Linked DNA regions of Struthio camelus. The protein of the gene in region 1 purifies or fractionates together with the protein of each later gene. This does not show direct contact. Links are inferred from orthologs where the notes say so. Each region holds a gene or a part of one and is shown in the gene's direction. Other genes may lie near its edges.

Region 1 (8,088 bases):
ATTTGATTGCAAGCGATTTTCCCAGGCTGCTGCCCCGGTAGGGATGTGCGCACAGCCTGCCGGGTGGGCAGAGAGGCAACGGACGAGGGCTTGGAAAGACGACTACGACAGAAGGGCCTCATCCTGCACATCCTCCGTGCCTGCTCTGAATTTCTATTTGCCGGTAGAAACAACTGTAAGTTTTGTTTCCGACTGTTCACTTCTCATCCTAATTTTAATGCTGTTGTAGTCACACCTGCAGTCACCGAGTAGCCGCCTTGCCCAGCTGCCGGTTCCTATACGGTGAAATCCCTTTGCAGGAGCCTGGCTGAAGGCAGAGCTCAGCAAATCCGCTTTGGCTGAAGTATTTATTTTTGTACTACGCTGCAACGCCCCGGTCCCGCGGCGTCGGGGAGCCTCCGGGGACCGGCTGGGCTGAGCCGCGCCGGCAGCTCGCGCCGGGGAGCAGCGCGGGAACGGCCCCGGCGGCCTCGGCAGCGCGGCTCGGCGCGGGGCGGCCGCCGGGCCAGCGCCTTCGCCGGGCGAATCGGCAACTGCAGCAGGGCGAGAGAGGGGGGAATCGGGGCCGGTCCCGTTTGGCGGCGCGCCGTGCCGTGCCGGGCAGCCGTGCTGGGCGCTCAGGCCGGCAGCGCAGACCCGGTTACGGCCGCGCGCTCTCCCTTCTGTGCTTTTTAAGACCGACGTAACGTCTTTAGGGGAGCACAAAAGCCTTGGGATTGTTTTTAACTGCCTCTGTGCTGCTCGGGGCGGTCTCGCCGGGGGCGAGCTGGCCCGCCGCGGCAGCAGAAGGCCCCCTGCACCAGGCGCGTCCCGGCTAGGGCCTCAGCAGCACCCCACCGCCGTTGTCCTTCCTAGTTGCCCCGTCCCGGATGGCGGAGATGCTGCGGTAAAAGCTGGCGTCCCGCAGCAACGACTGCGCTCTGCGGTGCGAGAGGGCCGCCCGGGAGGCGGCCAGGGAGGGCTCGCCCCGGCGCTGCGCCCGCTCGCCCAACTTTCCCGGCGCGCCCGGGGGCGGGAGGTGGCCGCGGCGAGCGGGCGGCAGCGGGTCGCCCTGGCCCCGGCGTGTCCCGGTGGCCACGAGCCCGGGGACGGCGGGTGCACGGGGACGGACCGTCCCCTCCCCAGGGCTGCCGGAGCGCTGCAGCTCGCTGCTGACATTTCCCACGAGCTGCGGTTGCTTTTGCCGCCGCTCCTGCGCCCCGAGCGGCGGCCGGGGTGGGCTGTGCAGGCCCCCGCGCCCCGAGCAGCCCTGGGCGGGGGGATAAAGCGTGCGGCAAAGCCCCTGCAGGTCTGCGTGCTGCGCGGCCCCGGCGCCCGGGCGGCTGGAGAGTGCTGTTCCCGCTCTCCGGAGGCATTCCCGCGGTTGCAGCGGGGTCGCCGTCGGGCTCATCTCTCCCTCTGCTTCCGTGCTGATGGGTCTGGAATAAAGCTGGCCCCGTGCGGCGGCTTCCCGGCAGGGCAGGCGTCGAGGAGGCTCTAGCAGCTGCCCGTTTTCCCGTGCGGCTCGTCCTGGGCGCGCGGGCAGCGCCGGCCCTTGCCGGGCGCTGGGGCCGCCGCGCTTTATTCGTTCATTCATTCGAATAAAAGCACTCAGGGCCCTCTCTGCATGAACAAGGAACAGCCCAAACTGTTTTAAGGCAGGAAGAAAGCTGATGAGGCCACGGCTAAACGAGTGGTCATGATCTGACTTTGCCGACGGGGGGCACGAGGCGAAGAGCAGCCCGCTCGGGGTATGTGCTGGAGTCCTTTCGAGGCTGTCAGAGCTGAAAATTTGTCTTGCGAGATGAGCACCGTCGTCGCAGGCGGGCTGCAGCGGGCTCGCGGGAGCCGGGAGCCGGTCCCGGGAGCGCCGGGTGCCGGCCGGGGCAGCCACCGCGCGCCCGCCGCCGCTCTCCCTGCCGGCCGCAGCCAGGCACGAGCTTTCTGCTTTCCTTTTTGGGAAATCCCGACGGTTTTGCTTTTCTTGGCATCCTCCCAGCCCCTCGCCGGCATGGCCGCGATAGCGGCGCGGGCCTGGAGCTCCCTGGCTCGCTGCCGCCGCGGAGCGGGGCTGGCGGACGGGGCTGGGGAAGGCCCCCTACGCGGAGCCGCTCCTTTAGCCTTTCGGCTAACTCGCGCCAGGGCAGGGCTTTGCATCTCTGCGGATTATCAGCAGCGGCTTCGCGCCCCGGTCCCGCAACGCCGCTTAGCGCCAGATGTGCAGCGGGGCCTCTCGGGCGCCCAGATGTGCTGTCCCCAGCCCTACTTTTTTCGCCTTATGACCAGCAGCTTTCAATTATACAGCGCGCGGCGGCACTCAGCCGCGCTGTCTGCCAGGGGCTGCAATTTAAATGAGTCGTCGCAGGCTCTTATGTCATGTTGACGAACACCCTCCCCGGAAAGGAGCCGTTCGCACGCGATGAGCCGCTCGGCTCCCGCCGGACAGGAGCTCCCGCTCTGCCCCGAGGGGCCGTTCGGGGGCTCGAGAAACGGCGTTTCCCACCCTTCGGGGAGACCTTACATATACACCTGGCGGTCCAACGCTGGGGAGCAAACAGCCCCAACGGCATGCGCTTATCATCTACTCTGTAGATCTTGGGATTTTTAAACAGATCTGGGGAATTTTCAGCACGTCTCGAGATTTTGGGGCCTGATTTTGCCACTCGGCGTTTTGGAGACAGTATGTCGTTGCCGATCTCGCCGTTGGCTGCAGCAGGTCTCCTCTCCGCAGGGCTGCTTGGGTTTGGGCTGGGCTGGGGTTTGGGCCGGGCTGTTTGCGTGCAGGGGCCGGGCTCGCCGGCGCGCTCCTGTTCCAGCTCCTGCTCCTGCCCCTGCCCCAGCTCCTGCTCCTGCCCCTGCTCCTGCTCCTGCCCCTGCCCCTGCCCCTGCCCCAGCTCCTGCTCCTGCCCCAGCTCCTGCCCCTGCTCCAGCTCCTGCCCCTGCCCCTGCCCCTGCCCCAGCCCCTGCCCCTGCCCCTGCCCCTGCCCCTGCCCCTGCCCCTGCTCCTGCCCCTGCCCCTGCCCCTGCCCCTGCTCCTGCCCCTGCCCCTGCCCCTGCCCCTGCCCCTGCCCCTGCTCCTGCTCCTGCTCCTGCCCCTGCCCCTGCCCCTGCCCCTGCTCCTGCCCCTGCTCCTGCCCCTGCCCCTGCCCCTGCCCCTGCTCCTGCCCTGCCCCTGCCCCTGCCCCTGCCCCTGCTCCTGCCCCTGCCCCTGCCCCTGCCCCTGCCCCTGCCCCTGCTCCTGCCCCTGCCCCTGCCCCTGCCCCTGCTCCTGCTCCTGCCCTGCCCCTGCCCCTGCTCCTGCCCCTGCCCCTGCCCCTGCCCCTGCCCCTGCCCCTGCCCCTGCCCCTGCTCCTGCCCCTGCCCCTGCCCCTGCCCCTGCCCCTGCTCCTGCTCCTGCCCCTGCCCCTGCCCCTGCCCCTGCTCCTGCCCCTGCCCCTGCCCCTGCCCCTGCTCCTGCCCCTGCTCCTGCCCCTGCCCCTGCCCCTGCCCCTGCTCCTGCCCTGCCCCTGCCCCTGCCCCTGCCCCTGCTCCTGCCCCTGCTCCTGCCCCTGCCCCTGCCCCTGCCCCTGCTCCTGCCCCTGCCCCTGCCCCTGCCCCTGCTCCTGCTCCTGCCCTGCCCCTGCCCCTGCTCCTGCCCCTGCCCCTGCCCCTGCTCCTGCTCCTGCCCTGCCCCTGCCCCTGCCCCTGCCCCTGCTCCTGCCCCTGCTCCTGCCCCTGCCCCTGCCCCTGCCCCTGCTCCTGCCCTGCCCCTGCCCCTGCCCCTGCCCCTGCTCCTGCCCCTGCTCCTGCCCCTGCCCCTGCCCCTGCCCCTGCTCCTGCCCCTGCCCCTGCCCCTGCCCCTGCTCCTGCTCCTGCCCTGCCCCTGCCCCTGCTCCTGCCCCTGCCCCTGCCCCTGCTCCTGCTCCTGCCCTGCCCCTGCCCCTGCTCCTGCCCCTGCCCCTGCCCCTGCCCCTGCTCCTGCCCCTGCTCCTGCCCCTGCCCCTGCCCCTGCCCCTGCCCCTGCCCCTGCTCCTGCTCCTGCCCCTGCCCCTGCCCCTGCCCCTGCCCCTGCCCCTGCTCCTGCTCCTGCCCCTGCCCCTGCCCCTGCCCCTGCTCCTGCTCCTGCCCCTGCCCCTGCCCCTGCCCCTGCCCCTGCCCCTGCCCCTGCCCCTGCCCCTGCCCCTGCTCCTGCCCCTGCCCCTGCCCCTGCCCCTGCCCCTGCTCCTGCTCCTGCCCCTGCCCCTGCCCCTGCCCCTGCCCCTGCCCCTGCCCCTGCTCCGCCGGCCGCCCAGGTTTGTCTCGGACTCGCTGCCCGCCGCTCAGGGCAAAGCCCTTGGACGCGACGCTGTGGATCTGCAGCGTTGCTGGGGTCGCTCGGACGGCGGGCTTAAGGCAGCAGCGAGTTTGGCCCTGCGTTTGCGCATGAGAAGCAGGAGCGGGGTAATCTGTTTATGGTTTTACAGTGAATGTTAATCTTGGATTTGGTGGCTCTTCCCGGGGGCTGAGCTGGGGCGCTGCAGACTGCTTCTGCCCCCTGCTCTGGAAGCGTCGGAGCTGGGTTTTTTTCTTAAAGAGCAAGTCTAGTGTGTTTATAAATAAGTGTGAAACCTGGAACGGAGCCATCTGTGGAGCCCTTTGGAGAGGAAATAGCGGTGTTTTCTGAACGGGCTTGCAGCGGGTCCATGGCGTTTGGCCCGCGGCGGCGCGGCCGGCCCGGCTCCGGCCCGGCATGCCCAGGGCGGGGGCTCCGGCCGCGGCGCGGGCGGCAGCGGGGCCGAGCTGAGCGTCGCCAGCTGAGGCGAGAGGCCACGCTGCGCCCCCGCCTGCTCTGCAGGGCTGCAAAAAGAAGATTTTAAAAATCCCCCAAACAAAAAAATAATTAAAAAAAAAAAAGAGAAAGAAAAAGCCCTTGAAGGGGGGGTTTCCAAGAATGTTTTTAGATGAAAGTGGTTCCCAAAAACGTTTTCTATGGAAACCCAGGTGTCCTGTCTGTGCACAGGGACGCCCGAGGAGGCTCCGGCTCGGCCGCCTCGTCCCCCGGCCGCGCCGGGATCCCGCCGCTCCGCCCACGATGCTCTTCCCAGATGGTGATTTTTTTTTTTTCCTTTCTCTTTTTTCCTCTTTCGCAGGAGGGCCGGGGGGGCCGCGGCGCCGCCGAGGGCCGTGCCGCGATGCCGTGCCGCGGCCGCCCCGGCCGGTGCCCGTGACGCCCGGCTGGCCCCCCGCGCCTCCCCAGCATGACGAGCCTCTTCCGGCGGAGCAGCAGCGGCGGCTCCCGCGGCGGCTCCGCGGCGCCCGAGCTCAACAACAGCCGGCCCGGCCGGCAGGTCCGGCGCCTGGAGTTCAACCAGGCCATGGAGGACTTCAGCACCATGTTCCCGCGCATGGACTACGACATCATCGAGTGCGTGCTGCGGGCCAACCGCGGCGCCGTCGACGCCACCATCGACCAGCTCCTGCAGATGAGCCTGGACGGCGGCGACGGCGACGACAGCTCCGACTCGGAGGACAGCATCCCCCCGGAGGTGAGTCCCCGGGCTGCGGGGGGCCCGGGATGCAGCCCGGGATGCTCTCCTGTCGTGGGTGTTTGAAAAGCGCTCGCTCCCGTGGGGAACGCGCACGCCTACGGGATACGGTGGCTGACACCAAAGGCTGCTGATGCATGCAGCCGCGGGATTGCTTTTAGCTAGCGCTGGCTTTGACCTTCGTGATGCACGCTGAATTCGGAGGGCGTCTCCGTGCCGCCCCTTGCGTCTTGCAGCGTCCGGTGGGGCGGTTCGCCCCGTCCCCGGGCGCGCGGGAGCAGCAGCAGCAGGGGAGCAAACCTGCCTGCTTGCGGCTTTGAGGTGCAGGCGCTGGGGCGTCCGATCCCGCGGGCGTGCAGGACGCAGCCTGGCCGGTTGGCCCGGGGGGTGGTGGAGGCTGAGCCCGACCGCTTTCCTCCCGTCCTGGCCCCCGAGGGCTGGGCGAGCGCAGGGTGCCGGCGGCGCCGTGCCGTGCTGTGCCGTGCCGTGCTGGCACCCTGCTCCTGCTTTGCACCGGGAGGTTTTGCCCCATCTCTCCTTGCAGCTGCATTTGGCAAATGGCTCCCCGGTTCGCTCTCACCCCGTCTTTCCCATCGCCCAGATCCTGGAGCGGACGCTGGAGCCGGACAGCTCGGACGAGGAGCCGCCTCCCGTGTACTCCCCTCCGGCCCACGAGGCGCCGGCGCTGGGCAGCCGCCCGGCCCCCGCGCCGCCCGCCCCGCCGCCCAGGTGAGCGCCCGGAGCCGCGGCCGCCGGCGCCGGCGTCGTGCCGAATGCCCGACCCAGCCTCGCGCCGGCCGGGCCGCGCAAACGGGCTGTCGCTGAGCCTGACCCGGCCTCTCCGAGGGGCGTCTGGTGTCGCTGAATTAGGGCCGGGCGAGACGAAGCCAAGGGAGATGAATGAAGCTCGCAGCTGGCTGCAAAATGCCGGCGGGGCGCTGGGAAGCCGACAGCTGCGGGGCCGGGGAGCCGCTCGCGGGCCGAGGGGAACGGCAAAAATCAGCGAGCGGAGCCGGGGGAGCGGCAGCCGCCTCTCGAAAACCCCAGGTGGCTTCTTCGGCGGAGCCGCGGCTGCCCGACCTCGCAGAGGGCCGGTGGATCGAGGGCCCAGCTGGGGACCGGCGGCGGGAAGGGGGCGTCTGCAGGCCCGGGCCGGCGCCGGGGGCTCGCCGCCTCGTTTCCTTGCCTCGTCAGCGTGGCGAGCCTTGGAGAGCTGCTCCCGCCCCGAGCGGGGCGTAGGGGCGTAGGGGCCCGCTCGCGGCGGGCGCCGGCCGCAGCATCCCGCCGGCCGGCAGCGAGCGGCTGCCCCTGCCGCCTGGCAAGCCCATGCTGCGGTGTTAGAGCGCCCGCGCTGCAAAAGGGAGAGGCGAGGGAAAGCCTGGCCTTCCCGGCTGCGGAGGAAGGCTCGGAAAGCCATTCCCAGAGAGTGGGGACTAAGGAGAAAAGCCCGTCACTCTGGTGGCTTGACGCTGACTCGGTGGGTCTCTGGAGGCAGAAGCGATGTCTCGGTTCCCGGGACGAGGCCCGGGATCCCGGGGAGCTGGGCGCCTCGTGCCGCGGGTGCCGGCGGGGTTTCGCTCCGGCCGACGGCGGCTGCCTGCGCTTGCCCCGCAGGACGGAGGCGCCCGGCGGCGCCCAGCCCCGGGGCCGCTACCGCAACTGGAACCCGCCGCTGTTGGGCAACCTGCCGGAGGACTTCCTGCGCATCCTGCCGCGGCCGCCCGCCGGCGCCCAGGTGAGCGCCGCGCCGCCCGGCCTGCGGGCTCTGCAGGGCCTGGCGCTGCGCCCGGCGCGTCCCGCGGGGCCCCCAGCCCGCCCGGAGCGGGGCCCCCGCGCTCGCCTCTTCCCTCCCTTTTTGGCTCCGGAGCAGGCTGCCACGTTTCCAGGAAGGACTGCCGGGAAGCTCAGCTTCGCCGGCTCTATTACCTTTCTGGGAACAGGAGCGTGGCCAATTCCTTCGGGCTTCGGCGGGGGGAGAGCAGCAGCTCTCCTTTCCTCTCCTGCTGCTTGCACGCTTTTGCTTTCTGTGGCTCGCCGAGAGCAGCTAAGGAGGCACATGGATATCGCCATGCAGGGACTGCTGCTGCCCGGCGCGGCTCTGCTCCGCTCGGCCGCGGAGGGAGCCGGCGGCCGGGGCGCTTCTGGGTGGGGGGATAAGAGCAGGGATTTGGCTGGGGGAGACCTTCCTGCCCGGCCTCGCCGACAGGCTTAGCCCCGGCCTTTCCATGTGAAGCATTTGCAAGGCGAAGCGGGGTCCCCAGCTGTGCCACGCCGGCTCCCAGCTGAAACAGCCTCCGCTCCCGGCTGGAAATACCCTTGCGCTGCTGACTCTCGCCACGGCCCGCGGGCCGAGCCGGCGGGAGCTGGGCCGCGGCGCGGGGCTCCCCACCGAGCCGCCCGCCGCGGCCCGACGCCTCCTGTGCCTGGCTCCGTGCAGGGCTCCCGCGGCGGGCGGCCGGCGGTGCCGCGCGGCCTCGGCCCCCGGGGCCAGGGCGCCCTGGAGCAGGAGCGGCGGTGGAAGCAGTACCTGGAAGACGAGCGGATCGCGCTCTTCCTGCAGAACGAGGAGTTCATGAAGGAGCTCCAGAGGAACCGCGATTTCCTC
Region 2 (7,545 bases), on another chromosome or scaffold:
TGACTTCAGTAGAGATGAGTTTGATGCTTTTGTACAGAGTAGCAGCAGGGAAGATAACAAAAAGAACCTCCTAGAGGACAAAGTTCTTCTGTTCAGGGACAGGACAAAAACGTGATGGATCTGCATGAATTTAGGAAGTGCCTTTGCTGTAGCAAGAAGTTATGAAAGGATTAAAGAAGGATTAAAAGAAAAACCCGCACCAAAGAGACAGGCTAGGAGAGTGGTGCCCTTAACAGTCAAAGATGTTGATGGAGTAGGTCAAGACTGAGAGAGCTCACAAGAGAACAGCATTCTAGGTGGCATCTGGAAGTCATGAGCTGTGGAAATTAGTGAGGCATAAAAAGATTCTTCAAGCTGAGTAAGGACACCAAAATCAAGGCACCTTTTGTTTCATTATCTTTCAGACAGTGAAGCAATACAGGGTCTTGCTCCAAGCTCATCATCTTTTACTTGTGTGACTCTCACAGGGCTTGTAGCGGCCACGGTCCAGTTGCTTTTGCTCGCTGATCTCTTGCTGAGTATTTCAGCACAGTTAGTATTTTGCCTATCTTTAAAGGAAACACCTCGCTATGGCCATTGCTCTTTTGAGAAATAGTTTCTCCAGATTCCAGTTTTCATAAAATGTTGGAATCTGAGCTTGATGTTGTAAGTTTATCATTATTAATGACTAGATTTTACTGAGTAGCGCATTGGGACATCAACTCAGGTATGGCTTACTTGGCATTAGGCACTGTATTAACATGATAAGAGAAAGTCCCTGCTTTGAAGATCCTTGCTGTTTGTCATGGAAATTGGCTTGGGACAGAGAGAACATGCTAGTGTAGAACACAGTATGAAGTCAGGAAACAGAAAGACTCTTTTTTAATGATGTCTTGCATAGAGGTACACAGGAATGCTTTGAAAGTGAATTAGTTAATCAGGTAAAATAAGAAATGAACAGGAAACGCTGATGGTATAAATGTTAATCAATTCATATAATTCATACTTGTTTTTCTTTTTTTGCCAACTTGGACAGAACTTTACTGAAAAAGAAAAACATTGACATTATAAGAATGAGATCAGGGACTTGCATAAATATTTCAATTTTATTTATCTTCAAATCAAATGGGACCTGACAAATTTAAATCCTAACGGGGTCATCTAGGTGTATATTGCTACAATGCTTTTCCTCTCAGAACTAGACTGTTAGGTGGCAGAAGTAGCCATTTAGCATTAACGGTTGCACATACAATGGAAATACATCATAGAGAAAAGGGAATAGAAGTTTAATTTTCTTCTGATTAACTCTGGTTTTAATGCCATGATCTCTAGTGGTGGCATTTCTAAATCGCACCAGGTAAAGAAAGACTAGTAGGAAGAAATACAACACTGACAATTGTAAGTTTACTTATTTTTTAAAATTGAGGAAAATACTATTTTAGCCTTTCAATTTACTCACAAAAGCTTAACAATAGGGTCAGGACTCTCCTGCTTTCCTGATATCATCACAGAAGCTAGGGAAGAATGTGGTATAGCACCAGCCAGCTCTCATTACTGCTAAAGGAATGTGGTGTGATTAAACCTCCATACAGAAAGAAATGGAATGTAATTCTTACATGTTGATGTGCTTTGAACACATACCACATGCTGAGGAATGAGTTTCCAGTATATTCTTCTATTTCTAAAGATGGAGAGGACCTTACCTCAGAAAAATTAACTACAAATATCCTCTTCTGAAAATGAGTACTATTTGGTTAAAGACATTTGTTCACATTTTCCAGTGTCCAAAACCTCTAAATCCTTCGAGAAATATCTGAATGCAAAGCCTTCTTTTTCTGCCTATTGGGAAATTCAAGAATCAAAGCCCTTTTTTGTGCAGTCATGGAACAAAAGAAGTTTTTGTAGTTCCACTTTTTTTTTTTCCCAAAAGTTTTACTAACATAATACCAACCACTAAATTATTTTGTCCTTGTGGAGCCTTCTGCAGCCCCGCTGGGGTCCTAAAGATGGTTGAGCTTACCCCCTTCATATATAATTTCCTGCAACCCTTGAGACTGTGTCTCAGTCGCTAACTTCTGGCTGCAGACGACTCGGTGGAACTCCCTCCCGAGTCCAGCAGTGAGGCTGTCATCCAAAAGTGAGCTGTGGGGTGATGCAAGGCACTCCCTTCCCTCCGGATCTCAGCTAGCTACCTCATCTTGAAAGGATTTGTTGCTCAATGATATCAGCCCAGAGTGAAACACGGATCACTTGTCAGCAGTTAATGATGATATTTCCCTGCTTACCTCACAAGATCAGCACTATGGAGTGAAACCTCTTTTCACCCTTGAAATGGTAATGCACAAAGACAAACTTTACTGTAAATGCTTGGCTTATAAAACCCAAAGCAGGATCAGTGAGATATCTATTACCTTAATCTCAGAGTATTTTGAGAACTTGGGGGATAGCACTGGCACAAGAAACTCCCTGGATCATGAAATCTGTGTGAAATTCTTTTATTGGAAAAGTAGCACTTTCAGTCATCAGGTACTGTCAATATTTTTGGTCTCCCGCATTCCCTGCAGTTCTTGGCACTTCGCAATGCTTCCTGACCGCTGCTCAATGCAGTTTTTGCACAGATTCCTCACTGTCTGGCAATTTTACTCAGTGAAGGGGAACAGCGAATAGAAATACTGATTTCTCTATAGAATAGTGAGATATGATGGGACAGAAACATCCGTAGAACACCCAGGGTACATTTATAGTAATGTTTTTACAAAGCCAGAAGGAAAAAAGACTGTATTTTGCACCTGGTACGTTTGTCTGTCCAAGTGCAACCTGGTCTAGGTCATTTCTCCTCATGTTAGTGGAGAGAGGACACAGTCCTGACCTAAATGGGGTCATTACATGTTAGAAAAATCTACTGTAGCCTAGAAATATGTGAAGCATGTGAAAAGTGGCTTTATATTTTGTTTTTCTATTCTGTTCAGCAGTGGCCAGGTAATGTTGCAATATTTGCAAACCAGCTGCCATTTGCTTTATGCAGTTAGTTTTACAAAAGGCTAATAACCTGGCTGTATGAATTCGCAACAGATTGAAAATTTAATATGGCCTTACATCATTAAGGCTGGTTTTATTTATTTATTTTTTAATGCAGGAATCAGGACACCTGGAACGTCTTTGTGGTGTGTCTGTATTTACATAACTAAGAAATAACTTTTTAACTGTTTCAGTACAGCATATAAATTACATCTGTGCTGTGAAATTAATGAAGATTAGACTTGACTAGTTTTAAATGTTCTTTGCTTGAAAAAATGGCTAAGCAATGAATCAGTGCATTTTCTCTTATGCTTTGTCTATTCTGTAAAGAAAGGTCCATTACTAACACTTGCTAATGTTGTGATTAACAGGCATTGCACAGGAAAGAAATAGCTCTGTATGAAGAAAGGGCTCGATCCCAGGACTCCTCCACTCCCAGGTGAATTAACACTGCAGCAGTGGCGCCACTGCAACAGGAAGCACTGAAAACTTCCTCCTGCTGCTTGAGACATGCTGTGGAAGGAAGGAGATGCGAGTCTGCACAACCCAGCGCTCTGAGCACCGCATCCCACTTCCGAGGCCTTCAGTGGACCCCGGTTTGACTTAATACAGCCCAAGCACTGACCTCCGTCCGGATGGGACACCTCCAGGTATGCTTATGGTTCAGTTCTGCCTTCTGGGTGACTTTACCTGTGTTAGGTAGAAGCTACGTTATAAATTCAATGAAGCATGGGTCACGTTTTCATCCCACGTTTGAATCCTCATCCATAGGATGGATCCTGATCTATGACTACCCGTGCGATAATACGTTACAGGCTGCCCGTGCAATGACACAACCGCATGATTTGTGTGCAAAGCATAATAAACCATTAGTAAGGTTATGAGTAAGAAGAGGTGCTAGTCATCTTCTAACGTGAAGGTGACTGTGGCAACCTTCAGGGCTCGTCTGGGAGGCCCCATGTCCTCCACAGGCCCCCCTGAAAGCTGCCTGCCGGTGCTGCGTCTCTCGCCGCCCTCGCTTTCCTGCAAAGCCTGGAAGTCCCTGAAAGAGTCACCGACGGGAGCAAAATTAGGCCAGGCAGCGCGGATACAAGGCAGCTTTTCCCTTCTCCGGGACGGTCCTTTGCCAGACTTGGCTGCTCGTCCCTACAGAGCGCTGGCCACCAGCGAACTAGCCCAAAGTTGAGTGGTTTCCACCACCAGCTTGCCAGACCTCACTCAACGCAAACCATCACCCAGCATCAGAGGTGCTCAGCCGCGCCACCCAACCTCTCGGCGTGCCTTCGCCCGCCCGCCCCGACGGCCTTGACCCCTTCGGCTTTCTCAGTCCCCTCAGCTCTCCAAAAACAAACAAACAAACAAAAAAACCCCACACGGACACCCCGCTTCGTTACGGAGCTCCGCTCCCCTGTCTCCACGCCACGGCCGTGGGCACCTCCCCGCGCCCCACTGCCCGGGCAGGGGGGGGGGGAAACACCCTGTGGGAAGCGAGGGAGAGGGGAGGAGAAGGGAGGCGGCCGCCCGCCGTGCGGCTCCGTCGCCGGCTTTGTTGTGCTGGCCGCCGGGCTCCGGGCTAGGGGGCGGGGAGGCGAGGCGGCGGCATCTCCGCCTCCTCCTCCTCCTCGGCCCCGCTCATGGCGACGCTGGGCACATCCGGGCTTCTCCTCCTCCGCCTCCTCCTCCGGCGGCCGCCGCCGCTGTTGCTGCTGCTGCTGTTGCTGCTGCTTCCCTGAGCGCCCGGCCCGACTCCATTAGCGCGTCCCCTCCCCCCTGCCCGCCCCGTCTCCCTTCCCGGACCTAGAGGCAGGGGGAGCCCCGGGCCAGGCAGCGCCGAGCCCGAGGAGCAGCCGGGGACATGTCCAACCAAGGGGCCCGGAGAAACGGGCCCGTCAAGCTGCGACTGACAGGTGAGGGCGAGCGCGGCGGCGGGGCGGGCGGGGGCTGCCATTGCCTGCCCCCCTCCCCCCCCCCGCCTTCTCCGCCTTTGGCCTCCGCCAACGGTCCGGCGGCGGGAAGGGGGCGAGTTCGTGAGGGAAGAGCCGAGAGGAAGCGAGCAGGGGTTCGGGGGGCGAGGCGAGGCGGCCGTTGCGCGCCGCGCCGCGGGGCGGGAGGGGAGGGGAAGCCCGCCGTCCGCGGGCAGAGGCGCCCACGGAGCCTTTCCGCGCGCCGAGCCCAGCTGGAGGGGGGCGGGCGGGGGCGAGCCGCCTCCGTGTGTATTTGAGATTGAACCTGGGGCCGGAGCAGCCTTTCAGGCCTCTTGTCTCTGTGTGTGTGTGTGTGGAGGGGTGAACTCTTCCCTCGCCGCCCATCGTCTCCCCGCCATAGAGGGGAGGGGGGGGGGTCGTCGTGAGGAAAATGTCCGTGCCCCGCGGCGGCGGCGCCCAGGCTGGCGGTGAGGGGCAGCCGGCCGCTGCCGCCCTCCCCTCCCGGCCCCGCCGCCGCCGCCCTCCTCGGCGCGGGGGGAGCCGGCCGGTGTGAGCTCCTCGGCGCTGCCTCCCTTACCCTGTTCCTCAGCTCCCCTACCACCCCAACCCCCGTGTTTCCCCCCAACCCCCGGCCTTCTTCCCAGTGTAAACTTGAAAGAAACTGTCACACTCTTTGTTTTGATCTCTTTGTTTGTGTCCCCCCCCCCCCCCAGCCGACTTCCTCAGTTCAAGTCGTACCCAGTTGGTTTGCCCTCATGCCTGACGCTGCCAGCCCGCTTTCAGGAGATCGCTTGACCCCTCGTGTTTTTTAGATACCGTCAGAAACTCTTCACCTGCGTGCTGGGAAGGGAAATAAGTTATTTCTAAGTCCTTGAAGTATGTGGTTTGTTTTTTTTTTTTTTAAACAGTAAGAACCCAGGCAAATAGGTTTAGAGGAGAAACTCTGGGGAGCGTTGCTAGAGCTTTCCTGACAAAAAAAATGTGTTTCTTTCCCTTTTGAAAGAAAAGAGTTGATGAAAAATTTTGTAAACCCACACCAGCACAAAACACATACTTTGTGTTCTAATTCTTAGTGCATGAAGGCAAGAGACTAGAAAATAGTAGCTAATATTACTAATACTGTTGCCTTCAAATAGTGTGTTTTACCAGGATAGTGGTTCTGCTGGCAAAAAATATCCAATCAGCACTAAAAAAAAAAAAAAAACAAAGCTGGAAGGGTTGGTATATTTACTTTTAAGTGCCCGTGAAATATTTCCAGCTACTGTCTAATGAAGAGATGTTTTCCTATTTTTTCAAAATATGCTATTTTTACAGGGAAAATGAATGTATCTGCTTATGTTTTACTTTGGAAATACTTGGCCTAAATTTGTAATCTAGTTTTCATAGAGATTTGTGAGTGTCTCTATATTCCACTTAGAAATAAAACTCTTAAAATAAGCATAGCTGGGACTGATGCACGGAACAGTGCTGCCTTGTTTTTACAGTGTGTTTTGTAGCTTGCTCTTTAGGCTATTGCTGTACTGATGCAGTACTTAATTCTTTTTTTTTTCCTGAGTGCTCAGACTTGCTTTATTTTTGAAACATTAAAAATGGTCTGGAGCCTCATGTGAAAGTATGGAAAATACCTGTTTAGGGAGTTGTCTTTTTCACCTTTGGATTTCACGTTCTATATTTATTTTATTTTTATTAAGGACTAAGTATATAGTCATCTGTCTGTGACAATATAAATATGTTGTGGGGGATTATGACCGTGAGCAAGGAATAAGCAGCAGTTTTACTTACAGAGTTTTAGGAGACTGCGTAGCTGTGCAGTGCAAAAAGAAGCAGATACAATCTTAAGACGTGCCTCTGAGTTTTTTGTCGTCTTATATTTTAGGAAGGATATATGCAGAACACAGGATGCAGGCAAAATTGCCTTTATAGGGACTCTTCCAGCTCTAGCAGCTGTTTGCAGTTGCTGAGTACCAGTTCTGGTTTTTTGGAAGTTTATATGAAACATCAGCCTATTTCTCAAGTTAAAAATGCTTGAGGTATTTTGTGCTTTGGTTAATTGCATGTTGTTTCACATAAAGTCATTTGTTATAAGGAAGTTTTACATGTTTAAGGAAAGCTGTTATAAGCACTGAACTGAACTTTATTAATTGAACTGACATGTTGTCAGTTCTTGCCTAGGAATAGTTTTAAGCGCTCTGTGTGGTTTTGATTACCCTTTTTGATTGGAAAAGCAGTGTGAAGACTCTTGAATTCTAAAACTGTTTGGAATTAAAAGAATCTGTATATTCCAGTGTTTTTAAAAGTTTATTCTCAAACTGGCAAATGTTATTTAATCGTAATTTTCTTTGGCCTTACAAAACTAGCAGTCTTCTGTTTTGGCTTGAGTATTTATAGGATTCATTTTGCAATCATTGTGTAATGCTTATCTTTTCTGTTCATTATCTCTAAATTAGATAGTATAGATTAAAAAATGGATTTTGAGAGCTGGATTCAATTAGCAGTTTTTCAGGACATAAACATTAAAGGTTTAGATGGAAAACATTGTTTTGACTGACTGGATAAATGACAGGGTAATGTTTGATGTGAGTCCAAGAACTGATCTGGAGCTAGTGCCCAACTTCTCAGTCCA
Region 3 (7,774 bases), on another chromosome or scaffold:
TTCCAAATACCAAGGCTACTTTTGTGTTTAATTTACTTATATTTCCAAGAATGTGGAAATTAGCCTACCAGTGGTAGTGATGACTAGGCAATAGTCGTATGGTCTCATCATATGGTAATTTATAAGACAGTGAAGATGCTTAATAACCTCCTTATCTGTGTCATTTCTGAAGGATTTTGAGTCATTATCTGATGTTAAACAATATTGAATTTCTTTTCCCAGTCAAACACACTAGACAACATTGCCTACATCATGCCTGGACTTTGATAGGAAGAAATCCTGGGATGTGCTCAACCTCTGCATAACTGACTTGCGTGCATATGCACTACGCCGGCACTCTCTAAGGGCTCCGTGTGTAGGATTTTAACGTTTTATATCTGTATACTATATACATAGGATTGTAACTATTTGACTTCTATTAATTTCATGAACAGTTGTGAATTTAAGCTGAGAGAACCCTTTTATGTTGGTGGATGAAATGTACTCCAATTTGAAAGTATTTTTATGAAGAATTCAGAAAGCGTTTGAGATACTAGCCTTAAATTCAGATCTGTTAGTGGGGGAAGCACCCACTAGAGAATCGACTTCTAGATATAAAAAACAAAATATTAAGAGTGGTTGTTGGAACAGATTGTCCAGAGAGGGTATGAATCTCCATCCTTGATGTTATTTAGAAACTGACTGAGCAACCTGCTCTAGTTAGACTTTCTTTAAGCAGAGGTTGGACAAGATGACCTCCTGACAATTATTCTGTGGGCAGTTAGAGATGCTAATTTATTGTGGACCAAGGAGTAGAACTGAACTCTTCACCAGCCCTGTTTCTAACTTTTTCAGTATAAAATCTACTGCTTGAGGGAAAAGCTGGATAGCTGATAAAAGATATAGAGGTCTTCACCTCTGAGTCACAACTTCCAAGCTTCCCTCTTCAGTGACTGATGACTGAAAGTTGTCAGCGTCAGCTGGCTGGTCTGGTAGCTTGCATTTGGTTTGAAGGTGAAGATGGCAAAACATTTGTTCTTTTCTTGTGGACTGGCATCCAAATTGCCATTAGCGTGAGGTATCAACAGACTGCACTGGCTTGTGAGAATGAACCTCCTGCTGATTTTTCCAGGGCTTGGTCAGCCCACTTTCACAGAATCACAGAATCACAGAATCACAGAATCACAGAATGGTTGAGGTTGAAAGGGACCTCTGGAGATCATCTAGTCCAACCTCTCTGCTCAAGCAGGGTCTTATAGAACATATTGCCCAGGATCACATCCAGACGGGTTTGGAATATCTCCAGCAAAGGAGACTCCTCTCTGCAACTACCTCTCTGGGCAACCTGTTCCAGTGATCTGTTGCCCTCACCGTGAAGAAGTTTTTTCTCAGGTTCAGATGGAACTTCCTGTGGTTCAGTTTGTGCCCGTTGCCTCTTGTCCTGTCGCTGGGCACCTGTCTCATCCTCTTGACATCCCCCCTTCAGATACTTATACACGTTGATCAGATCGCCTCTCAGTCTTCTCTTCTCCAGACTGAACAGGCCCAGCTCTCGCAGCCTTTCTTCAGAGGAGAGATGCTCCAGTCCCCTCAGCATCTTTGTAGCCCTCCGCTGGACTCTCTCCAGTAGCGCCATGTCTCTCTTGTACTGGGGAGCCCAGAACTGGACACAGCACTCCAGGTGAGGCCTCACCAGGGCTGAGTAGAGGGGCAGGATCACCTCCCTCCACCTGCTGGCAACACTCTTGCCTAATGCACCCCAGGATCCCATTGGCCTTGTTGGGCACACTGCTGGCTCATGCTCAACTTGTCCACCAGGACTCCCAGCTCCTTCTCTGCAGAGCTGCTTTCCAGCAGGTCACTCCCCAGCCTGTCCTGCTGCATGGGGTTATTCCTCCCTGGGTGCAGGACCCTGCACTTGCCTTTGTGGAATTTCAGGAGGTTCCTCCCCGCCCACCTCTCCAGCCTGTCCAGGCCCCTCTGAATGCAGCACAGTCTTCTGGTGGAGAGGAGAGTGGTAGCAGATGGGAGAAACCTGGATTGCTTCTGTTCGTCTTGCATGTGTTTTGTGAACACAGGACTTGAGTTTCTGAGATCGCTGATCCTATCCCTTTCACCAGCAGTATTGAAAGAGCCACGGTGCTGCTGTGAGGCAGTGACTAATGACCAGTTTTAAGCAGTAATGGCTGAGCAAGGCACATGTCAGTTGATTGGACTGATTCCCCTTCCTTCCAGCCACATACTTGGTATTTTGGTTTTCTGCTCCTCTAGAAGAAGAGCTGCAGGAGAGCACTTGATTCTCATATAGGTTTTTGTGTGTCTGTATGTATGTGTATGTAGTGTTCATATCATGTGTATTTAACTTTTACCAATATCTGTAACAGATTTTAATTTATCCTGTATATTTCTGTGTGTGTGTGTGTGTGTGTGTGTGTGTATATATATATATATATATGTATATAATTTAAAAGCAAAAATCCCTCCCTCCACCAACAGTGTGTGGAAAACACGAATCAGGTGTGCGTCACCTCACTTCCTGCAGGCATCAGCTATACGTGCAGTAGCATGCATTGGTTCTGTATGGGGAAACAGCAGCAAGACTTTAAGTGTTTGTAAAAAACAAGACTATCTTGTGAAGCTAGGTAGAAGCTGAAATAGAAAGCTTTTTAATTTGACCCCAGGATCTCCAGCCCTTATAGCATAAAAGTTTCAAAATGATAGAAGAGCACTTTTGGACTACTTCCAATTTGAAGTGTAGTTTCTCTTTTTCAGGGCAGTTGAAAGTGAGCTGTCCCTCATTATGGCTGAGTCCCAAATCATATTTAAATTAAATCCTCAGGTGTGCAGGAGGGTTTTTCTCCCCGTTCCTCTTTACCATATATTCCCCAACTGTGCCAGTGCAAAGCAGTCTGTCTGTTACAGACCTTTTCTCAGTTCAATGTTGTTTTCTCAGTAAATTAAGTGGATGAAGCAGAAGATTCTGAAACTATCATGTCAATTCTTATCTGAAGCCTCAGACCACAGAATACCTGTTTGGACAATATATGACTAATCACAGAGATCTTGGAATTGGGAAGAGGCTTGGGAGGGAGGCAGTCTAATTCAATTTGTGATCCTGGACCCTTACTAAAGCATCTGCTATTGGGAGTGGCACAAAGTCACTGGCTCTTTCCAGCTCTTTACAACTGAGAGCATTGTGGTAAAGGGCTAGATCTCTAAGAAACAGAAGGAGATCAGCTCTTGCTTTGTCATCTGTACAATTGAAAACTCTTGAAGAGTTTAAAAACACACACAACCCTAGTGTATTGTATTTTTATTTAAAATTTGTACACTTTGTATAATCTGTATCTTGTGGTATTTGGTACTAGAGGGAAAACTTTGGTGACACTTAGCAGTTTTTATATTTTTGTTATTTCCTTGCTGTTTGATCCAGATTACATTACAATTATATAAAGAAACTCTTTTGTACTGTACTTAACAATATAATTTTTTTTAACATTTGGAGTGTTGTCATTCATTTCTAGTGTTTACTATGTTTTCTTGCAACAGTTGTTCCTACTAGTATTTCGTGTTTCTCGGCAAAACACTTTTAATTTTAAATTCCTTCATCTCAGTTGTTTTAAGAACAAGCAATTCTAGTTCTAATAGCACAGTTCACCTGAAATACCACTCAAAGAATACTGACAATTTGGAGACCTTCCTGAAGGGAAAGATAACATCTAGCATGGCAAATCCTACAGCATGGGGCATTTTTCTTCCCTGTTCTCTCATTTCAGTTCACCTTTGTGGTGTTAAGGTGAAACAGTACAGGGGACTCAAGATCAAGACAGTGAAAGGAACTACAGGCATGGCAAAGTTAGATCATAATCAGTGCTAGTTCTTAACATGTCCCCATTTCCAGGGTCTGACAGATGCACTGGCCACTTACACCCTCAGCGTGTGTGATGTCCAAAGACATGAGGCTGTTGCAGAACGTGATACTTTACTAGCCAACTTGTATTCCTTGTTTTAAGTACATTTCAACAGAAGTTTATGGAAAAATAAAAGCCAATAACTACATGCTTTCACGCATTTCAATGCAGCTCTAGGTAATGTTTATTCTGCATAGATACAGAAGAGCATTTGAGGAAACTGTTCTAGTGTTTCAGTAAGAAAATGGTAGCAAAAAGATACATCAGTAGCCACATCAGCCTGTCTTGGTGCCACACTGTAAATAGCTGTGAAAGAAGGTAGGAAGAACGCGTGCAGGGAAATCGTACTTGTTGGTAGCTGGGCTCTTCAAAGCTGTGGCTGCAAACAACTGCCTTGTCTACTAAAATAGCATTCAAAACCTCCCCGCAGGGAAAACGCACGGTGGACTTCAGCCCCACTGGTGAACAACAGCCACGACCAACCGCTCAAAGCGGTCAGGTTAGAAAAGCGCTCCAGCCTGAAGCTGCAACCGACACACGGTTTACTGTGGCCGCTCGCGAAAGCGGCGGCGGCGGCCGGGCCGGGCCGGGCCGGGCCCGGCCGGGCGGCCGCACAGGAGGCCGCGCTTCCGGCAGCGGCCGGCTCCGCGCCTCAGCGAGCGGCCCCGTTCCCGGGCCCCTCCGCGGGGAGGGCGGCCGGGCCGGAGCGCTCTGGTGGCTCCGTCCCTGACGGACTACCGGCCACCTTCCATCTCCGCCGGCCCCGCCCCCACCGGCGGGGCGGCGGCCGTTAAGCGCGGGGCGCTTTCGTCACGGCGTGGCTGGGCCTCGGAGGCACGCCCCGGCCTGGCGCGCGGGCGTCACGTGAGCGGCGCCGGCGGAGTCAGCTGATCGCGGCGCGGCGGCAGCGATGGACTTTCTCCTAGGAAACCCCTTCAGCTCCCCCGTGGGGCAGCGCATCGGTGAGGCTCCCGCGACCCCGCGCCGCGCCGCTCCCCTGCCCTCCCCCGCGCCCCTGAGGTGGGCTCGCCCGCTGGCTGGACCCCCTTCCTCCAGGAAGCGGCGGCGAGAGCCCCGAGGGGGCGCGGCCATCCCCGCCTCCACGGCGGGCCTGAGAGAGCGCCAGCCTATGAGGGGAGCGTGCCGCTTTGACGGACAGGCGCTGTCCACCAATGGCGAGCAGCAAGAGCTGGACGGCTCCGTCGACCAGCCAATCCGTGTGCGGGGGGGGGGTCTCGAGATGGCGAGGCAAAGTTTTCTTGCTTAAAGGGGCCGAAGCAGCGGTGGTCCGAGCCACGCCCCCTCGCGCAGCCGCCACCTGTGATTGGCTCGGGCCCGTTCCCGCCGACACCTGCATGAGGACCTGGTGGGGGGAGCGGGCACATACGGAGAGGGGCGCGTGGGGGGTCGCTGATTGGCTGGGGCTCAGGCCACGGGGGGCCTATCAGCTTTCTAGATGAGAAGGGTGGGAGTTCTCCTTGAGAAGGGGGTCCTCCTTGGGGGCCATGACAGAGTCTGGAGGGCTTTGCTGGGAGGCTGGGGGGGGGTTAGGCCTGCTCCAGGCTCTTTGGGGCTCTTCCCAGGGGGGTTCAGTGCCACCCCCCCTGCTCTGAAGGAGGACAGCTCTATCTGGTGCTGCCCCTGCTGAACCTTGAGGTCTGCAGTGCGCAGGGCCCCCCCCCCCCCATAGGGCCACACTGCAGCTCCACGAGGAGGAAAGTGCCACCCCTGCACCGCTGGATTTCTCATAGGTCTGAAAATCAGCATGGGAAGTGAAATCAACTACAGGTTTATGGCATCTTCTCTGTGACCTCTCAGGCTGATGGACTACTAAGTCTTTTTTTAAACCCTGTGCTCAGGTCAATTAGATGAACACAGGGGAAGAAATTGATCAAAAATGGTCTCAAAACAGAGATATAGTGCTTAAAATGCTTAAAACAAAGGTTCTTTTCTTCCCCTCTTGTATTACATGCTTTCTGGTTGTGCTTGAGGTAGTACAGTTGATGTCACATGTTTAATCTATCCAGCATGATAGAAAATGGCCATTTGTAATTTTATACGCTTCTTCATTGTTGCTTTTTATCACTAGTGCCAACCTGTGTTCTTCATCTTGAAAAACTGATTCCTAATTCAGTACTTTTCAAACTGCTTGCGTGTGGGGTCCACATGTGTAGTGCACTGATTGTGTCATGTATGGTATGGGAAGGGAGCAAGCAGTTGATGTAGGTAGTGCTTTTAAAAGTCCTACTTATTTTAGAGGCTCTTGCTGCCCAAAGCAGTGTCCAAACAATATGGATAGGGCACTGTGATATGGCCCATGTTAGCGTGTTGGACAACATAGGTGAGATTCACTGCTGCAAGGTAGGGGAAGGATCGCTTTGGCCAAAGATATCAGGGAAGTTACTAGGTAATGAGAAGTTTCAGATGATCTTTGATGTCCCCCCAGGCAGTTGTCACATGTTGCATCACGCTTTCCAGGAGGAGCATTCTCCCGCCCTTTTCAGAATGAATGTTCTTTGATTCCCTGCATGAATGTATGGGATATGATTTTTGCATTTGGGTTGAGGCAAAATGAAGTAATCTTTAGATGTTACAGATTACATCTTGCCCTCCAGATCTTTTGATCAGTGTAGCAGCCAAATTATAAGTGATTTCCCTCTGGGCTTTTCTTCTGTTAAAGACAGGGTTTCCAAGTAACAAACCAACAGCAAAGAAGAGAAAATAAGTATTTCAAGAGTGTTGTCAGACAGGAATTTAGAATCCTTAGTACCAGAGGTGTGACAGTAGAGAGATCTTAATGGTTGAGGTTGCGGGAATCCAAAGGGTTGGAGGATTTGCAGTGTCTGAGAAGGGAACTGAAGTGTGGAGGACTTAAAAGGGCTGGTGGCTGTAAATATGAATGCTTTTTTCCTTCTGATCATTGCCTAGCAACATCCTGGGGACATGGATAAATGCTATCTTCACTATTTAATTTGAGACGCGAACATGACTTACCCTAAGTTGTTTGGTAGGTCAGTGTCAGCTGCTTATACAACCCTTGAGCCTGATCATCAAACCTGCAGAGTGCTGCTGCTTTGGGCTGTCTACAGAAGGCTTATACTGCATCATTGTAAATTACTTCAGCAAAGTCGTGTATGCTTGATACAGCTTATAAAGTCTAAAACAGCTTTGGATGAAGGCGGTGGAATGAAAAAATCTTTTGTGCCACACTCCAGTGATGTTCTGAAATTGCTTCATTAGTGTTAATCTAGTAAGTCCTCTTTATTTTGCTGACATGGAAACTGGTGCTTAGATAAACTCAGTGATTTGTCTCAGAATGAGTCAGTTGCAAACTGCAGAGGAGTAGGTTTTCCAGCTTCTTACTCCCAGTCCTGGAATTTGTTCACAAAAGTTCCTTTTGTTCTGTTTTTAGATCATGATATGTCCTCCTAAATAAGAGGAATACAGACTTTTTTTTTTTTTTTAATGCAATACTTTTGGCTAGCAGAGAACTTTCCAAAGAGTTTGGACTCTCCACACAGAAGGATAATCCCCTTGGCCTCTACCTAGGAGCTCCGAGAAACCTCAATATGGAAAACCTAACTCCGAGGAGGCACTCTAGTAGTAACAAGGCAACTGTAGAGTGTGAAAATGGAGAAGAAACCACAAATATTCTCTTTTCTTAAAGCTTAGAGTTTGGAATAGCTAGTAATTATAGCAAGGGACAGAGACTGGTTATTCCAGTGAGTGAAGGCAGATAGGGGAGAAAACTAAACATGTCATAGAGAGACAAAGAAGAGTTTGGGGGGCGGGGGGAGGAGGTTAAGTGTGTGGAAACAGGAGAAGTTGAGAATGGGAAGAGGGAGCTGGTGAGAGCAGATTGCTACTGCTTATGAGTGAGAGAG

Evidence for each region.
Region 2: the proteins of CUEDC1 (region 1) and SMURF2 purify together in Homo sapiens (co-immunoprecipitation; 3 studies listed by BioGRID and IntAct, with this or other methods). This does not show direct contact. The link is inferred for Struthio camelus from reciprocal best matches to the Homo sapiens genes CUEDC1 and SMURF2.
Region 3: the proteins of CUEDC1 (region 1) and TOM1 purify together in Homo sapiens (co-immunoprecipitation; 3 studies listed by BioGRID and IntAct, with this or other methods). This does not show direct contact. The link is inferred for Struthio camelus from reciprocal best matches to the Homo sapiens genes CUEDC1 and TOM1.

What each region holds. Positions count from the first base shown.
Region 1 is NC_090957.1:20,581,937-20,590,024, forward strand, and holds the start of CUEDC1 (CUE domain-containing protein 1), read left to right. Parts: upstream 1-5,088; 5' UTR 5,089-5,195; coding exon 5,196-5,483; intron 5,484-6,084; coding exon 6,085-6,212; intron 6,213-7,097; coding exon 7,098-7,218; intron 7,219-7,920; coding exon 7,921-8,088.
Region 2 is NC_090960.1:4,577,498-4,585,042, forward strand, and holds the start of SMURF2 (E3 ubiquitin-protein ligase SMURF2), read left to right. Parts: upstream 1-4,497; 5' UTR 4,498-4,852; coding exon 4,853-4,904; intron 4,905-7,545. UniProt on the Homo sapiens protein: E3 ubiquitin-protein ligase which accepts ubiquitin from an E2 ubiquitin-conjugating enzyme in the form of a thioester and then directly transfers the ubiquitin to targeted substrates.
Region 3 is NC_090942.1:59,891,280-59,899,053, reverse strand, and holds the start of TOM1 (target of Myb1 membrane trafficking protein), read left to right. Parts: upstream 1-4,717; 5' UTR 4,718-4,800; coding exon 4,801-4,852; intron 4,853-7,774. Other genes in the region: HMGXB4 (HMG domain-containing protein 4), read left to right, coding at 223-267.